Linked DNA regions of Styela clava. The main gene of each other region encodes a partner of the protein of the gene in region 2 in a complex. Links are inferred from orthologs where the notes say so. Each region holds a gene or a part of one and is shown on either strand. Other genes may lie near its edges.

Region 1 (7,333 bases), on a different chromosome or scaffold from region 2:
TGAACTAGAAGCAATATCAGTAAATAAATATCATAACATATATTGTAATGTTCACAAGAATCCAGCTTGAATTTGATTCCAAAGTTAAGAATTTTCCATTACTGCAATACTATCTAGTTGACAATATCAATAAAATTTAATCAAGTTATAAATAATTTCTCGCCATGTTATTTTAAATACAAATACAATGTAACATAATGCATTTTAGTAAATAATAAATTGCATTAGATTCTGAGTTATGGTAATTATACGATGCAAAGTGTAGTTGAAAAACATATCCCTTAAATAGATACAATTATCAGTATTCTGCACTGTCAATACAGCTAAATATGTTTTGAATGTCATGAAAAGTTGTTTTGATTTATTATAATGAAAAGAAGTCATCAACTTTATATACCTATGTTCATTCATGTTAGTTGCACCAACAGATCTGTTTTGATTTCCAACATTCATAACATGTTCAATTTCTTTTACTGATTTAGTAACGAATGACAGAAGATCCTTCACATAAATGCCTGAAAAACAAACATAATACCGTAACTTACACTTCATGAAAAAATGTATTTCCACTGAAATTGTTATCACTTTACTAAGTAGCTTGTAAACCATAGCATGGAGTGGTCATAAGCAGTCAAATAATGCCATTCAAGATAACAGTCAATTGCAATATTGTTTCTATCCCCTAATTATTTGTGAACAGTGAAAATAATTACACTAATGACTGATTTTCGGAGTTTGTTTTAAATTTAAAAATCGGGCTTTAATATTTAAAAAAATTAAAATAAAAATCAAATTTGCAAAGCATTGAAGCCAAAACATACACATACGAAGTAGATAATCAATAAGTTCTACACTGTTGAGAAGTATATATGGATCTGGAGTTCTGAACATAGCATTATTTTTTTAATGATGAATTTGCTTGCTGAGAATTATGATAACTATTTAAGATATACAGGGTGTCCCAAAATAAATGAAACTCACAAAATTGGTAATCAAATTAATGGGTTTCATTTATTTTAGGACACCCTGTATTTAAACAAACCTGTGTCTGGTCTTTCTTTTAATTCCAGTCGTTTTGATTGATCTTTCGCTAAAAGATCACGAATTTCCTCTTGATAAATCTCAAGATAGGATGCTCTGACAAGATATTCTTGATCTTTAGTTCTCGCAATGTGAGTGAAAATATGATCAAATGAACGAGGAATGACTCCACGAAGCGCAGGATCATTTCGAACACCTGTTAACCAAAAATGAACAAGATAAATAACCAATAAAACAAGAATACAACGAAAAAATTCAAAATGGTTCACCATAAAAATTACAGCATAATCGAACCTTCCATTGTGTAAGTTTTTCCTGTCCCAGTTTGTCCATAGGCAAATATAGTGCCATTGAACCCTCCAAGAACAGAATCAATCAAAACTCGAAAAGTTTCTTCAAAAAGATCTGTTTGCTCTGAATTCCAATCATATACGGCATCGAATGTGAAACTCCTCTCTGCTTCACCAGTCGCTGTAATAGCATAAATGGTCAAATAAAATTCTTGATGTATTTTAAACATACAAACAGTATTTGATGTTCATGTATGAAAACTATAATTGCAATGACTGTATCAGTTAATATGAATTTTGAGTATATCAATCATGAGTTAGTACACAATGAGATGGTTTGAACATGATATCTTCGGGTAGAGCTAGTGAAATCAAAATCTGGGGCGTTTATATTGTTATTTTGTTGCTTTTGAAAGAATTTTTTCATGTTTCGCAAAAAGGTAGCGGGCAAGTATTGAATTGAGTGATCAAACTTACAAAACCCTTTCCTCATTTTATTAAAATGAAGTGACATAATTCGTCTAATCGCAACTCCAAAATGTGGAACAATGATTTACATAAGAGTCACAAATTAACCAGAGATCCAATAGGCTGGATCAAATTTACTGTACGTGCGATGACTATGTACAATGGGATAGCTATCCAGTAAAAAGGCAATTCATCTGTTGTTTTTTTTCTTCTTTCTGACCATTATTTTTTCATACCATATCCGAAGACCAAGACTAAAGGACAATGGATAGTTGTGCATACGGTCATAAAAATAGCCCAATACATAGATATGAAAAATAACATAAGATTCATCTTCTAAAATCATCTGTTACCCTTTGGATTTTTTATTAAAATCTGTCCAGATTTCACATCCATGTTCACAACCCTGTCATGATTTGCTGCAATTTCTTTTTGATTAAGAGGACGACATCGAACTACGACTTTAACACTTTCTGCACCCTTTGATTTTGACATTTTACTTTAGATTATCCACTATGGCAGTACCATATAGCCTGAAAATGTGGTAATTAAAAAGTTATATTGTTGGTTTATATAGAAAATCTGGGGCCTTGTGTAGTTTAGTACCACATGCACTTCTAGTTGGCCTGGCTCAACAATTTTTGCATGTCAGAAAAAAAACGGACAATTTTTCCATGTCGCCAACTACCCATTGTCTCTTTAAAAAAGCTTGAAAATCCATACAAATATAAAAGATAAAAAGATGAAACTTGGCAGGTGAATAGAGTTGTGTTTCTTTTAACCATCTTTCGCGTTTCTACATTTAAAAGAGGGATAATAGGGGGGGGGGGGGACGCATTTCCATTTTCCAATACGTCGATAATATCTTCGTTGACCAATTTGTGACCACCGTGTTTTTGTCTGTTTGATTGTTGTGATGCGGTGCTTTGTTTAGAATTTGACGCGTTTTGTTCGAAATAACCATGTTCTTAAAATATATGACAGTCAGAAATGCATTTAGAAGCCCAATTTTTTCACGCATGGCTGCGTATGATCTAGTCTCGATGCAGCAGAATCGATTTTCAATGCTTGAAATCCGTGGTTGCACGCCGGTCGTTCAGTCGCAAATTCGTCTCCCGAGTGTCGTACTTTGGTGGCTTGTATAGCTTTAACCACTGATCGTAGAAAGTTAATTCAAAGTTTAGCGCGCAGAATAAATGCCAATGCACCTACGGTGAAAAAATTATCGGGTTAGAAATATTGGTTTTTGTTTTATATCAGTAGCGGTTTGAATGAAATCGTCCGCAGACTGGCTACACCACCCTATGCAAAAATAGTTATGCTACGCCGCGATTATGCTACAAGTACATGTGGTACTGAACTACACTAGACCCAAAAATCTGTGGCTGTTCATACAGAGCCTTGTTCAGAGCAAAGGCATGATGCCAGTACATTATTATCTGTCAGCATAAATATGTTGAACATCTGAGAATTCAGTGCATTAAAATGGTGATTTAGTTAACAACCATACCAGCACTCTTGTACTTAGCATACTTGGAGAGAGAATCAACATCTGGGTAGGGGTACCACTGCACATTACAGCATCATTAGTCATTAGCACAAGGATTTGCATTACTGCACTCTTCCCTAAATATTGACATAAATTATGTACGTTAACGTAAACAAACATATACATCGATAAACAAGCCTTTACATGTGTTGATACTCTTCTATATTCCCCCACTGTAGCACTGATTGACGGGATATCAATACAGTAATACCGTACTAAATCCCCTGCACCTGTATACTTTCCAGCAAAGCATCGACAGATGGCGTCCCTTCACTATAATTCAGGTTATTTCGAGCGGTTCTGATCAGCCATAAACGGTTTCAATTAAAAGTTTCAGCGCAGACCTGCGTAGACTGTAGATCGATTGTAAATTTATTCTTAACTAATTTGAAATTATTTTAAAATGAAAACGCACAAATCAAACACACAGTATTATCAGTTTGGTCGTCGAAATAGGAGATCAAATTCTCGAAAATATTGCGGCATGAGAGAGAAAGAAATATTTATTTTCACATCAATGTAAAAAAAATCGAACCTAGACTCGCCGGTGTACGGTAACGCATCGTGATTCGTGATAAGCAGATTTCAGTATAGAAGAGTATCACCTGTAAATATTGTTGAAAAAAATAAACGCAAACGGCAAATCATTTATAATATCATCAAAATAAAAGCGGGAAAAGAGTTGAACCTGTGTTATCCTGCATAAATGCAATCCACTTCATCCCATTTCGAAAAAATATCGAGCGGGGTGGACAATATTCTCATACGTGGTCAAATTTTCCCTCTTTTTAAGTTTTTGTCACCGGATATCGATTCTCAACCTGGCTATATTAAAACTGAAGTATTCCAGGATCAAATTCTTTGGCCGACAAGTTTTGATCATAATTTGTTATGCCGAAACTAATGTTACCAGATAAAATATCTGATTTTAGGATCAAACAAATTTAGTTTTCTGTGTCTATGAAATATAATATATTTATGTTATATAAAATAGATCTCAGCATCGCAAAAATATTAATAATACCTAATTATGAAATTTATGCATTAGGTCAAACCTTTCTATGAAAGGTCAAATTAAAGCAGGGGTGTGCTGTTCAACCTTTTTCACAGGCGGGCCAAATTTCAATTACTGAGGAAAAGCGCGGGCCGCTCCTTCATTTGACATAGGCTTTCTATTAGTTGCAGGCACAAAATAGTGTCTTTTTGTTATTGATCTCGTGTCGTCATCATTAGGGGTCCTTGCAGAAAACGCATATATTTTGCGTTAATCAACTGATAGGCTGGAACCAAAACTCATTTAGCTTCTGTATCTTCCAATATTAAATTTTTTTAAACTGCTTTCCAGTTGCCCAATATTCAATTGCTCGTTCTTACAAATTCATTAGCGTCTGCTCCGCATTTTCCTTTCAATTGTTCGCTGCTCGGCAAGTGGCAGCTTTGTCAATCGCGTTGTTAGGACGTTGTAACGTCATAGGCATAGATAATAAGTTAGACTCGAATATAGCTTTGTAACGCAAATGGAACCAGCTCAAACTAAATTAAAAACCAGCTTGGATGGCCGCACACCATTCTAAATTGGCACTTCTCCGCAGGCCGCACAATTTTCCCTCACGGGCCGCACTTTACACACCACTGAATTAAAGCATACTTCATCGTAATCGTACAATGTCTCAATGCACAGGCCATCTCCACGACACGCTATGCAAACTTTTTCGTGCCCGCCACGCTAATAAATTCAACATTTTGCAGCGTAAGGTAATATATAAATAATAAAAACGATAATGTCGACGTTTTCTAACAAACTTAGTGAAGGAAGTTACCTGATAAATTTGTAATTTGAATAAAACTATACTGGAATTCATTGGATGTCGCACTGACTATTTTACAATGTTTTGTAAACCTGAACGTTCCAGCGCGCTGTATTCTCCCTATACCAATCCTTACAAGATACCGGGTTCCTGGCTATATCCGCGATGTCCCGTTTGAATGGTTTTGTCGGCTATATGTGAACTGGTCCCTGAAGGCCGCGCCACTACTAAATTGACCATGTGCGATCCAAATAACTCCAACTAAAACAGCAAATGGTTTAAAAAAAAGTTACCAATATCTTATATTCTACAACGAAACATGCGCCTTTGTCCCTTCCAGTTTCTTAATTTCAATAAAAGCGGGCTGGCTGCACACATACTTCATCAAAGCCAAAAACACATCCTTACACAAACATTAATCTCGTAGCAAAACACTTTCATTTGCATGTTCGGAGTATACAGTTCAAATGTCACAGACAGAATAAAATCAAAACTATATAGCAGACATAAAAGTTTCAATTGATAGGCATCATGTTTGATGCAGGAACACAAGGCAATGAGACCTGAATCTGGGCCAGACTTGTAAACTGGACATGGTTCATTCTATGGGCAAGGATTGAAGTATTTTTTTTCTATTTTGTGCCGCATTTACTGCCCTAATGATTTGCCCCAATAGCATAACATGGGGGTTTATGAGCATTAGGAATAGGTAAATTGATTCTGAATACGATGCACATGCCAATTTCAGTAGTGTCGGTAAATTGGCTCATCCTTTTCATGGAGAAAATGAAAGCAACAGACGAATAGCACCAGGGAAGGCAGAGGTACGAGAGAATAAAGAAAAACTAAAGCGATGGAAGAGGAACATTGATAAAAAAAATGAGAGCTATCGATAATTTTTTTTAAATATTGCCAGCACTGCAAGAGTGAGTATAAGGTTAGTAAACTGTACTAAATCCGGTTCTGGTTTTGAAGATTCAATTTCAGTCCAATAAAAAGTAACTGAAGATAGCAAGGCAAGAAATTGTAAAATCGCATAAAATTCTAAAATGAAAGTAATGACAGGCAGTACTGAGACCAGACACAAAAATGTACGATTATTTTGAATGGTTATAAAAGACCAAATAGCATGTGTCATGGGTGTAGCACTGACAACAAAAATGATAAACCATTAGCACCAAAATTATCTCATGTAGTTCGTAGTAAAAAGGTACATGAAAAAAGCCGATTAGGCAAACATGAAATCAGAAATATATGTCTGGTATATTCCCATTTTAAATCGTTCAGATGAATTATACAATAAATGAACTTAGATAAAAAGTACAATAGCACGCAGAATAAAACAGAAAAAATTCGAAAGCAATTCATGCAAATAAACTCGGTTATTCATGAACAACTATAATAAAATTCTGATCAAGATTGTGGGTTAACATTTTCCAAATCTCTTCTTTTCTTTAAAAAAGTTGGAAGCTCTGGTTTAGGCGTAGTTGTGGGTGCTGGTGAAGTGTTGCGTCTTTTTAAAAGGTGCTGACCAAACTGAAAAACGTATTTAACAATCTAACCCATGTTCATCGTCATTGACTGTCGGGGTAATGTTTACCAAGCATGATGAAATCCTGGGCTATCGTATTAATATACAAAGAACCATATTTTATGAATTGTTATGGAAATTTACTACATTAAATAAGCCTAAATCATTAATCTGATGAACTTACTTTTGGAGTTTGATTAGGACTTGGAAAACCTTTGACTGGTGTTAAATTATTTGTTTCAAATGAGTCATCAACTTCATCTGACTTGGGTGAATCAAAATTTTTTCTGTGCGCAAATTTTTTCTTCAATGCTGCAGCAATCAATGAAGCTGGATCCCCAGCTACCACTTCTAAATCATCTTTTTTCTTGTTAAATGGAGTTCCACCAGGTGATCTAGTATGAAAAACAATATTTACCAGCTCGTCAAAAAAATATACAAAACCTATGGGATAAAAATTAGGACACATTTGGGTAAAATTCACAGTAGTGCATGAACAATATTATTAATTTGCCACCAAAGACAACACTCGAAGTACAACACGAATTATTCATGAATGTTTGCTCAAACTAAAGTCCTATGGAGTCAGACTCACTATGAAGGGAATAAAATGAACGAATACCAACTACAGTTGCAAACTACAGAT
Region 2 (8,021 bases):
ATTATAGAAAATCCTATTCAGAATTGTTATGTTTTAACAGGTTTATTGCGTCAATAGTCATGGAAAACAAGGAATTTACATGATCAATAGCACCAATGAAATGGAATGCCTTCTGTGTTGCCGCGGATGGTTCCACGAGTATAGATACTGGCATAAAATGGGGTGTACTTCTTGTTCGTCATCAGGAATAACCGAGGAGCCAAACATTGATTCAGGTTGCCAACCAGTACGAAAAGCTCCCCAGTAAGTTCGACTAAATGATTGTTATCGAATAAATTTTTTATTGCTGTGAACTAAAACGGGACCGAGAGATAAAATTTTCTATTTCGATATTAAACTCTGTGCCATCCAATAAACAACTACCGACTCCAGATTGAAAAAAAAGAAACTTTATTAACAAAAGCTTGTGCTGTGTTAACTCAATAGTCAATACTATGTGCTGTTTGCCTGTTTCTTTCCGAATTTTTGACTTGGATTATCATCATGAAAAATCCAAACAATGTCAATTTCAGGATTTACCAATTTTCATTTCATAGGAATGTTGCTGAAGGTGGCGGCTCACAACCTCCTGCTATATTGAATCCACCAGGAGATGAACCTGATGACATAAAGACCCCTGCAACACAAGACAACATGACTGCCCCAGTGACAACAGCACAGCCAATTATTGGTAAGTATTGTTATGATTAGCTAATTCTTGAATGTCACCAATTTGGTTCTACTCAAGTAATAAACAGCACATACTTATAAAAAATATAACCAATTATCTTATTAAAATAAACATGGATCTTGGAGAGAAAAGTAGATTTATCCCTCTTTAAAAAAATCTTACAGAATAAGAATGACCCAGGGCAGGCTATGTCATCTTATCATGACTGCATATAACTTTTAATTGTGCCTGGCTTCCATGATTTGAATAACAAATGGAACAATTTTTCATTAAATTTAAGAATAGCGATGTATATATGGACTTAATTTCTGAGTGGAGTGGCCTCTCATTTGTACAGACTTTCTGATTACTTAATCCCGACATTTTAAAATGCAAATTACCAAAATGTGTGATCACTGATATGAATAGATACCATATATTGTTTCTGTTTTCTCGTTGATATATTTCAATGTTTATTCACTGTTCATTCATATAATTGTCGAGCTCCATATAAGTTGTTGATATTATTTCCTATGACATTATTATATTCTTGTATTACTTCCTGAATTTGTGAATAAATCTTGCAGGCAGTTCACTTGGCTAGGGGGTAACTTTCATATTCACCCGCCTTGGTAAGAGGGTGAAAGGATGTACACTACTGTATGATCAATGCTGTATGTGTTGCTATTCAGTTACAAATATATTTCGGTGCTCCCGAAGTATGCGAACCAAGATGGCGGACATCGGAACGTAACATGGGTAACAGGTTAGGGTTAGGCGATAATTTTTATCCAATTTTTCTTATTTTAGTCCTATTATCAGTTCGAAGACTAGCCAAGAGCCTCTCGTAGTATTTATACCTAAAATTATGGCCTAACCCTAACCTAGTACACATATTACATTCCGATGTCCGCCATCTTGGTTCGCATACTTCGGGAGCCCCTATATTTCATTATGGCAATATGAAAAAACTCGGTCAGCCACCGACATCTATACATTACACACTTGTTATTGTACTCATCGTATTCGTTTCAGAAAATCTGACACCACCGTATGCTATCGAAAATCTGATCTGTGAAAATTTATATTCTAAATTTCCTTCCCGGAAATCATCTGTCCTTGTGACATGGAACGGTTCTGAAAATGCTGAGCATTATGAGGTATATAACATATAATAGTGGTACGAGTGTCTTGTCGACCTAGATTTTTTCTGCATTGCTTATTCACACATTACGCTCCGAGCAAAGCCACACAGAAGTAATCACCGATATCTTCTAACGTTTTCCAGCTGGGTAGGAATTCTATTGGGTTGGAATTTTCATTTGTGTTCGTTGTAGTATTACTAATATTCTATATTTTTGTTCAAAAACGGGCGACTTTCGCATAACATTAGCTAAGGATACAATAATAAAGTTTAAGAAATGAGTCTATATGCGTACTGAGGAAGGAATAAAGTTACTAAAACGAAGAAGGAAGGAATTCAACGAAAAAGTTTGGGAAATACTGCTCTAAGGCTTTAACTGCTAGGCCATTGCACACATAAATATTATTATATTATAATATCTGTATGAAATTCATTTAATTTTCAAACTTTCAGGTGATATTAACATCTAAGGGCAGCTCGCAATTTTATGAAGTTAAACCACCTGCTTTGGACGTTAAAGATTTAGAACCAGATACCAAGTATAAAATTGTAGTGATAGCTGCAAACAAGTCGGGTAAGAATCTATATATATATATTTTCTGTATACACTGATGCATTTATTTTTAATATGAAATTGTAAGTAGAACTCTGTCATTAAATTCATTAATAAGGAAATTTTTATTAAAGGGAAGAGCACATCAACTTCGATTGATCACCATACTTGGAAGTTGCCTCCACGGTACCCTCTCACAAATGTTCATTTCACAGTTACTGGATCGATTATACATGGATCTTGGAATATTCCTGAAGGCAGAGCTGAAGAGGAACCATTGTTAGGTTATAAGGTATTTTCTGCTTTTTTATGTGAAGTTTATTTTTTCATTTCAAATCTACTAATTCTCTTATCTTGAGTAATAATGTTACACAGGTGCTACTGAAAGATTTGGATTCAAAAAAGAAGCTATCATTCCTATTTGAGGAGAGTGAATGCACTATCCAAGTTGAGGAAAACAGAACATTCTATGCGACTGTTCTTCCTTATAACAGGGCTGGTAACGGACTACCATACGCATCCTCGTATGTTCAAACTTATGCCAACTCAGGTATGTTATTCTAATGCAAATTTGTGTTTATAATATATTTGTATCTTAAGAATGCTGTCTTTTAGAAAGCTACATTTTACTCTACTCAGTTCTTAGCATATTAGGTTTGGTCGGGAGTTACTGCTCTTATTTAATCAAGACTAAGAGATACTTCAAATTACATGATTTGTTTCAATGAGTTGAGATTACTGATATTTTGTATTTTCAGGATCTGCCACTAGCAAACTTTTCTCACTGGGAGCACCTATATATTGTTATATCCTCGCCAGGATTGTGAACTTTTTACTATGCAACTAGATGAATTTTTTTGATCAAATATTTTATAGTTTTTGATAAGCTTTGAATAGTGCCAGATGATCAAAAGTATGTGGTAGTGAAATATAAATCCGTTTCACCCTTCGTTTCCAAATCGATTTGATTTTTTACTTAGTGGTAAAAAGAGCATATAAGAATATTTTAAGTATTTTTCAATTTTGTCAAATTCCTATATGTTATAACGTCCTTCAATGGCCTTTTGCTGTACAATTATGTTTTGCACTTTTCTTCAGTTTAAATTTGGAATTTAATTTCTTTATGATCTTCAATGTGATTTGTAATTTTTCGAATTTAATTTGTTTGTGAGTGGGATTTATTGATTAAGCTTCCCTGAACCATTGTGCCTTATGATACTGGAAGCCACTTGAAAGCATTATTTGTGTTGTGGCTATTTTGTTGGTGTACCTGTCTCTAATGTTGTATTTGTGACAATCACACTTACAAATCTGTGAATTCTTCATTTTTCTCTTCGCCATTTTTTTTTCACCACACTTATACTTTTGGGAGTTATTTGAGATCTGCTGGTTTTAGTACTGCGTGTTTTTCAACTTGCACAGAAGCATTTTGATTTTTAGATACAATCGTTGCTTATGTTACCTGTACTTGTAATTGTTTATATATCATGTATGCTTTTAGGGGCTATTTTTTCCAATGTGCAACATAGGTCGTTCTGTGATGATTTTTGCAATATATATATATTTCTAGAAAATCAATAAGATTTTTTTAGTGCCATAGCCCGTATTCAATGTTCCTGTGTCATTGTGTATTTAGTTGAAATGCAACAATTTTACATGCCATATCATAACTGATTCATTGTGTTTGTTCTTCATACTTTTTCTTAGGCAATTTGTTTATTATAATTTCACATGGCATCGATAGCAAAAAAACTGAATGCGAGATTTGAAAACATTGCCAGGGTAATTGCTTGTTTTCTTATGATTTATATTTTCTGTTTATTTTATTGTATTTTCAGAATAGGATGTTAGTTTCCCTTGCCACACTAACAGTATTTATCTTTTACCGATGGTGTTGATATTGCTGTTCATGATATTGAATAACATTGCACAATTTGAATGCTGTGTATGATTGTTTCTAAGTTTCTGTTCCTGCCTGATGCGCTTACTACTAACACATTGCTTCCAGTAACTTTACATATCTTGTATCTTATGTATTTTAACATGTTTTATTGATAAAACCTTCTCATTCATTTGTAATAATAAATCCGAAGGTATAATCTTACAAATGCCTCATTACTAGTAACAGCTTACCATTTAACACTTGTAATATGGGATGATGAGTAAGTTTGAGTTTAGAAGAAGACTACAAATGGCATGCCGATTTTGTGCACGGGAAGTAATGTTTCAAGAATAAATTGTAAGAAAATTTTAAGAGCTTTTTCGATTTCCTGATACCACAAAATTACCCGACAATACAAATAAAACAAACTAAAAAGTATACTGGAAGAAGAAAAAGTGGCGAGCCACACCACCGCAGTCTCGGTATGCGTCAAAATTGATTGGCTGTCTCCCCGTACCCATCAAACAGTTTTTTGAATATATTGAAAAAAATGTTATCACTATGATTTTCATAATCGTAGAAAAATCTTGCGCGAAGTGAAGGAAAAAATGTTTATGGGGTCAAGGGTCGCGTAAACATACATTACTGTCGGGTCTCATTTTTTTGTTTGTTTTATTCAAATATTATAAGAAATATTGGTTGCAATAAAATGTATGAGTTACAATAAAAAAAAAAAAATTAATAAAAAATGTTTAAACGTAATTCAGAATTTCTGATCTGTCGCAAATAATTCGGCATTCTATCGCTAACGCAACTTGGGTGAAAGGTTGTGTAACCGCTATAATTACGTCTGTATGCGCTCAATTATTATCTTAATATTGCTTGTATCTGTCGATTGTGGAGTTCGTTGAAGATTATGGTGAGAACATGCAGACGGATGATGCGAGATATTTGAAACGGTAAGTCAGAATAAGTGAGCTTTTAAAGGTAGGATGGTATTTAAATATGTATCTCAGTATCTCGCCCAGTTACCAGACCATGGGCGCTTCCGGTCAGCGGGTACGGTATGGGATTGTAGATATGTAGTCAGGAATTCATGATTTTGCATGAATGGATGTAAGCTGTTGTCTGGAGGTGGAACATTTACTGGTAAAATTACTAATTTAACGTAGAGTTTATTCTGCCCTGCTGGCTCTGAGCAAGAACTGGAAATGAAAGTTTGTTTTTATATTTAAAACAGAAAAGTGCATTCTGCAGCTCAGACATTTGCAAATCCAAAAAAATGGTTATTGAATGAATATTTAAATCATGAGCGCACATCTTAAATGAAGACATGTGCCAAAGTTTTTAAAATCATGTTTAACCTACTCAACCATTTGCTATTATTAGTTCAGAATTCCATATACTTAAATACAGAAATACACAAATTATTTTCACCAAATCAAGAAATCATTGGCATGCCATGTTCGAGTTTATGACATTAGGCACGTTTTTCCTGTGTTGTGAACTTCTGATTTAAATCATATACAGTGCATAAAGCCTGCTGTTTGGTGTAGAATAATTGTATCTGGTCAATTTTCATACTGATAATTCAAGTACGATTCAACGCCAATGTGCCAACCTAGCGGTGGCACTGACACTCACCCTGTTTCTGTATTCGGGATGGGACTCAGTGATTATTTTGATCGTTCATTCCGATGATTCTTTCAGCGATTATTACGGAATCTCATTATCCATAAGGCGATTTGACCCTAGAAAAGTTACGAATTACAGAAAACGCTTTTGTCATGCTCATCATTAAAATGTACTGTCCCCTGAGAAATTTACATATTTTTACACTCTAAAGTGCCTTTTGTGAATTGGGTATTTATTTTACAGCAAGGTCAAAGGAGGGGCAATTGACGTTCACCCAACTGAACAAGCACTTGTTGTGAATTATGAAGTGGAAGCAACAATATTAGGAGAACTTGGTGATCCTATGCTCGGTGAAAGAAAGCAATTTCAAAAAATGTATTTAATTTTCATTATTAAAGAATTTTATTTTCTATATTTTTTCATAGTTTTCCAAACACTTTGACAGGCCTAAATTCTACCTTTATATATGCAGAACTCGGGCATTACCAGGATCCAAAAAAAATATGTTCAATATTAACATACCATATTTATTATACTAAGAATAAACAATCATTTACGACAATATAATGCTTATAGTATATCTGGAATTTGAATGCATGTTTATATGCCTGTGTTTTTTTTTTTAAAGCTGAGAATTAGTTAAATCAGTAAGTGAAAAACATACGGTTCGAATCCCATATTCACCACCAGGGTGTAATATATTGAGTAGAAAATATTAAACCGGAAAGTAGCTCCTTAGATATCATATAAAGGAACGTGACAATAAAGGACCGGTAATTCAATTGTCTTTACATACTGATATAATTACCATTCTTGTTGTTAGTTTAGCATTAGATAAGTTTTTAGCATCAATTGCAGCAGTTAAGCCCTGTTTTTATACGAGAACCATATAGCAACCTTATAAGGCATGATTTATCAATAGTTTACGGAGATAGCTAATTAGCTCTGTCTAGATCTGTCACAAATACAATATGTATTGTTCTGTATTTGTATGAGTATATCAGTGAAATGTGACTAGGAAAATTAACAGACGGAAATTTATTTGCCAATTTTTACTGCAAAACAGTTTAATATGTTTTCTTGTGCGTAGAAACTGCTTTTTGGTCTTTCAAATGAATCAAAAATTATCTTTTTGCAGTTACTACAATTTGTTTTAAAGTGAAGTTTGTTGATTCAGTTTTTTGGAAAGTTAGCATTACCAAGTTGGATCGTGTTTCTAAGTAGTTCAGAAGAGTTTTAAAATCATGTAAGCATTCTATCATTATAAGTAAAACAGCTCTTAGTGTGTCATTATTGTATTACAGACACAGTGTTGTCAAGTAATGTAGAATAAGAAGATGATTACTGAGAAACTGTCAACAATTTTCTGCTCATTGTTAGCTATCGATTCCAATTAGAATTATCAGAAAAATAAAATAGTTATCATTTTGAAAGAAACAGAATAGCATATTTTGATATTTTCATCCTAGCTTTTTTCAGTAATTTCAGTTCAGATTGGTATGGTTAGCTCATAAATAGCATCTTGATCGAGTACTAGTTGAGTGTATACCTATCTATTCCAGGGACTCGTCATTTGCTTCCACGTATATTGAAGTTCATCCAGTTTTAGATGCTTTAATTGTTCACTACAGTTTTGATTGTTTGTTAGGAGAAGATGAAGAATTGGAATTGGAACATTATTTAACTAAGCAGGGAACAAAGCTGTGAGATTGTTATATTAGCTAGTTAGTAAAGTCCAGTTACTGGGTGGAGGTTCAAAGGTCAAATGTTTTGATATTTTTAAAACAAGTAGGAAGTAATAGCTGAAGATTAGGAACTAAATTATTTTTCCACTAGATTTCAAATAATTCTGCTCTTAATACAAATTACTTCTAACCATAGCTGTAAAAACCAGTAAAATATGATTCTAGAGTAAGAGTGATGCCTGTCATATTTTGACTGAACAATATTGCTACAATCGTTATAATAGTATAATATTAAAGAGGATGCCTGAATTTAAACCACTACTCAATAATTCTATAAAGAAGGTCATGATATCCGTATTTTAAAAAATTTACTAGCTGTAGGAGATTAGCTCTCACGTATGAATGATTGAAAGGGTCGACCCTTAATCAACCTAATTTTCTTGTAGAATTCGATTGCGGAGTTTGAACTCTAC

Evidence for each region.
Region 1: the proteins of kinesin-associated protein 3-like (region 2) and kinesin-like protein KIF3B are in contact, whole or in part, in a crystal structure (PDB 9IKB), measured with the Caenorhabditis elegans proteins. The link is inferred for Styela clava from reciprocal best matches to the Caenorhabditis elegans genes kap-1 and klp-11. Residues at the interface, in NP_001367739.1 of Caenorhabditis elegans: Pro155, Gln156, Thr159, Ser197, Lys198, Phe199, Ser200, Cys201, His203, Thr263, Asn264, Thr267, Ile269, Lys304, Leu307, Lys308, Ile311, Phe312, Met345, Phe348, Asn349, Phe352, Lys378, Asn381, Tyr384, Leu385, Cys388, Asp390, Lys393, Glu416; in NP_001369897.1 of Caenorhabditis elegans: Phe567, Pro569, Lys644, Arg645, Leu646, Val647, Ala648, Thr649, Pro650, Cys652, Arg653, Arg654, Pro655, Met656, Ser657, Met658, Cys659, Glu660, Ile679, Val686, Glu687, Ala688, Thr689, Ile690, Ile695, Arg696, Phe697, Cys698, Gly699, Glu700.

The regions. Positions count from the first base shown.
Region 1 is NC_135257.1:5,000,030-5,007,362, forward strand, and holds the start of kinesin-like protein KIF3B, read right to left. Parts: upstream 3,016-7,333; 5' UTR 2,295-3,015; coding exon 2,153-2,294; intron 1,513-2,152; coding exon 1,336-1,512; intron 1,238-1,335; coding exon 1,043-1,237; intron 516-1,042; coding exon 398-515; intron 5-397; coding exon 1-4. Other genes in the region: mitochondrial fission regulator 2-like, read right to left, coding at 6,570-6,692, 6,872-7,082.
Region 2 is NC_135254.1:13,151,971-13,159,991, reverse strand, and holds the start of kinesin-associated protein 3-like, read left to right. Parts: upstream 1-5,006; 5' UTR 5,007-5,155; coding exon 5,156-5,187; intron 5,188-5,270; exon of another isoform or gene 5,271-5,377; intron 5,378-6,105; exon of another isoform or gene 6,106-6,106; coding exon 6,107-6,238; intron 6,239-7,001; exon of another isoform or gene 7,002-7,107; coding exon of another isoform or gene 7,108-7,109; intron 7,110-7,425; coding exon of another isoform or gene 7,426-7,566; intron 7,567-7,994; coding exon 7,995-8,021. Other genes in the region: uncharacterized protein LOC120344989, read left to right, coding at 41-243, 537-670, 1,685-1,809, 2,247-2,367, 2,481-2,638, 2,722-2,896, 3,105-3,193.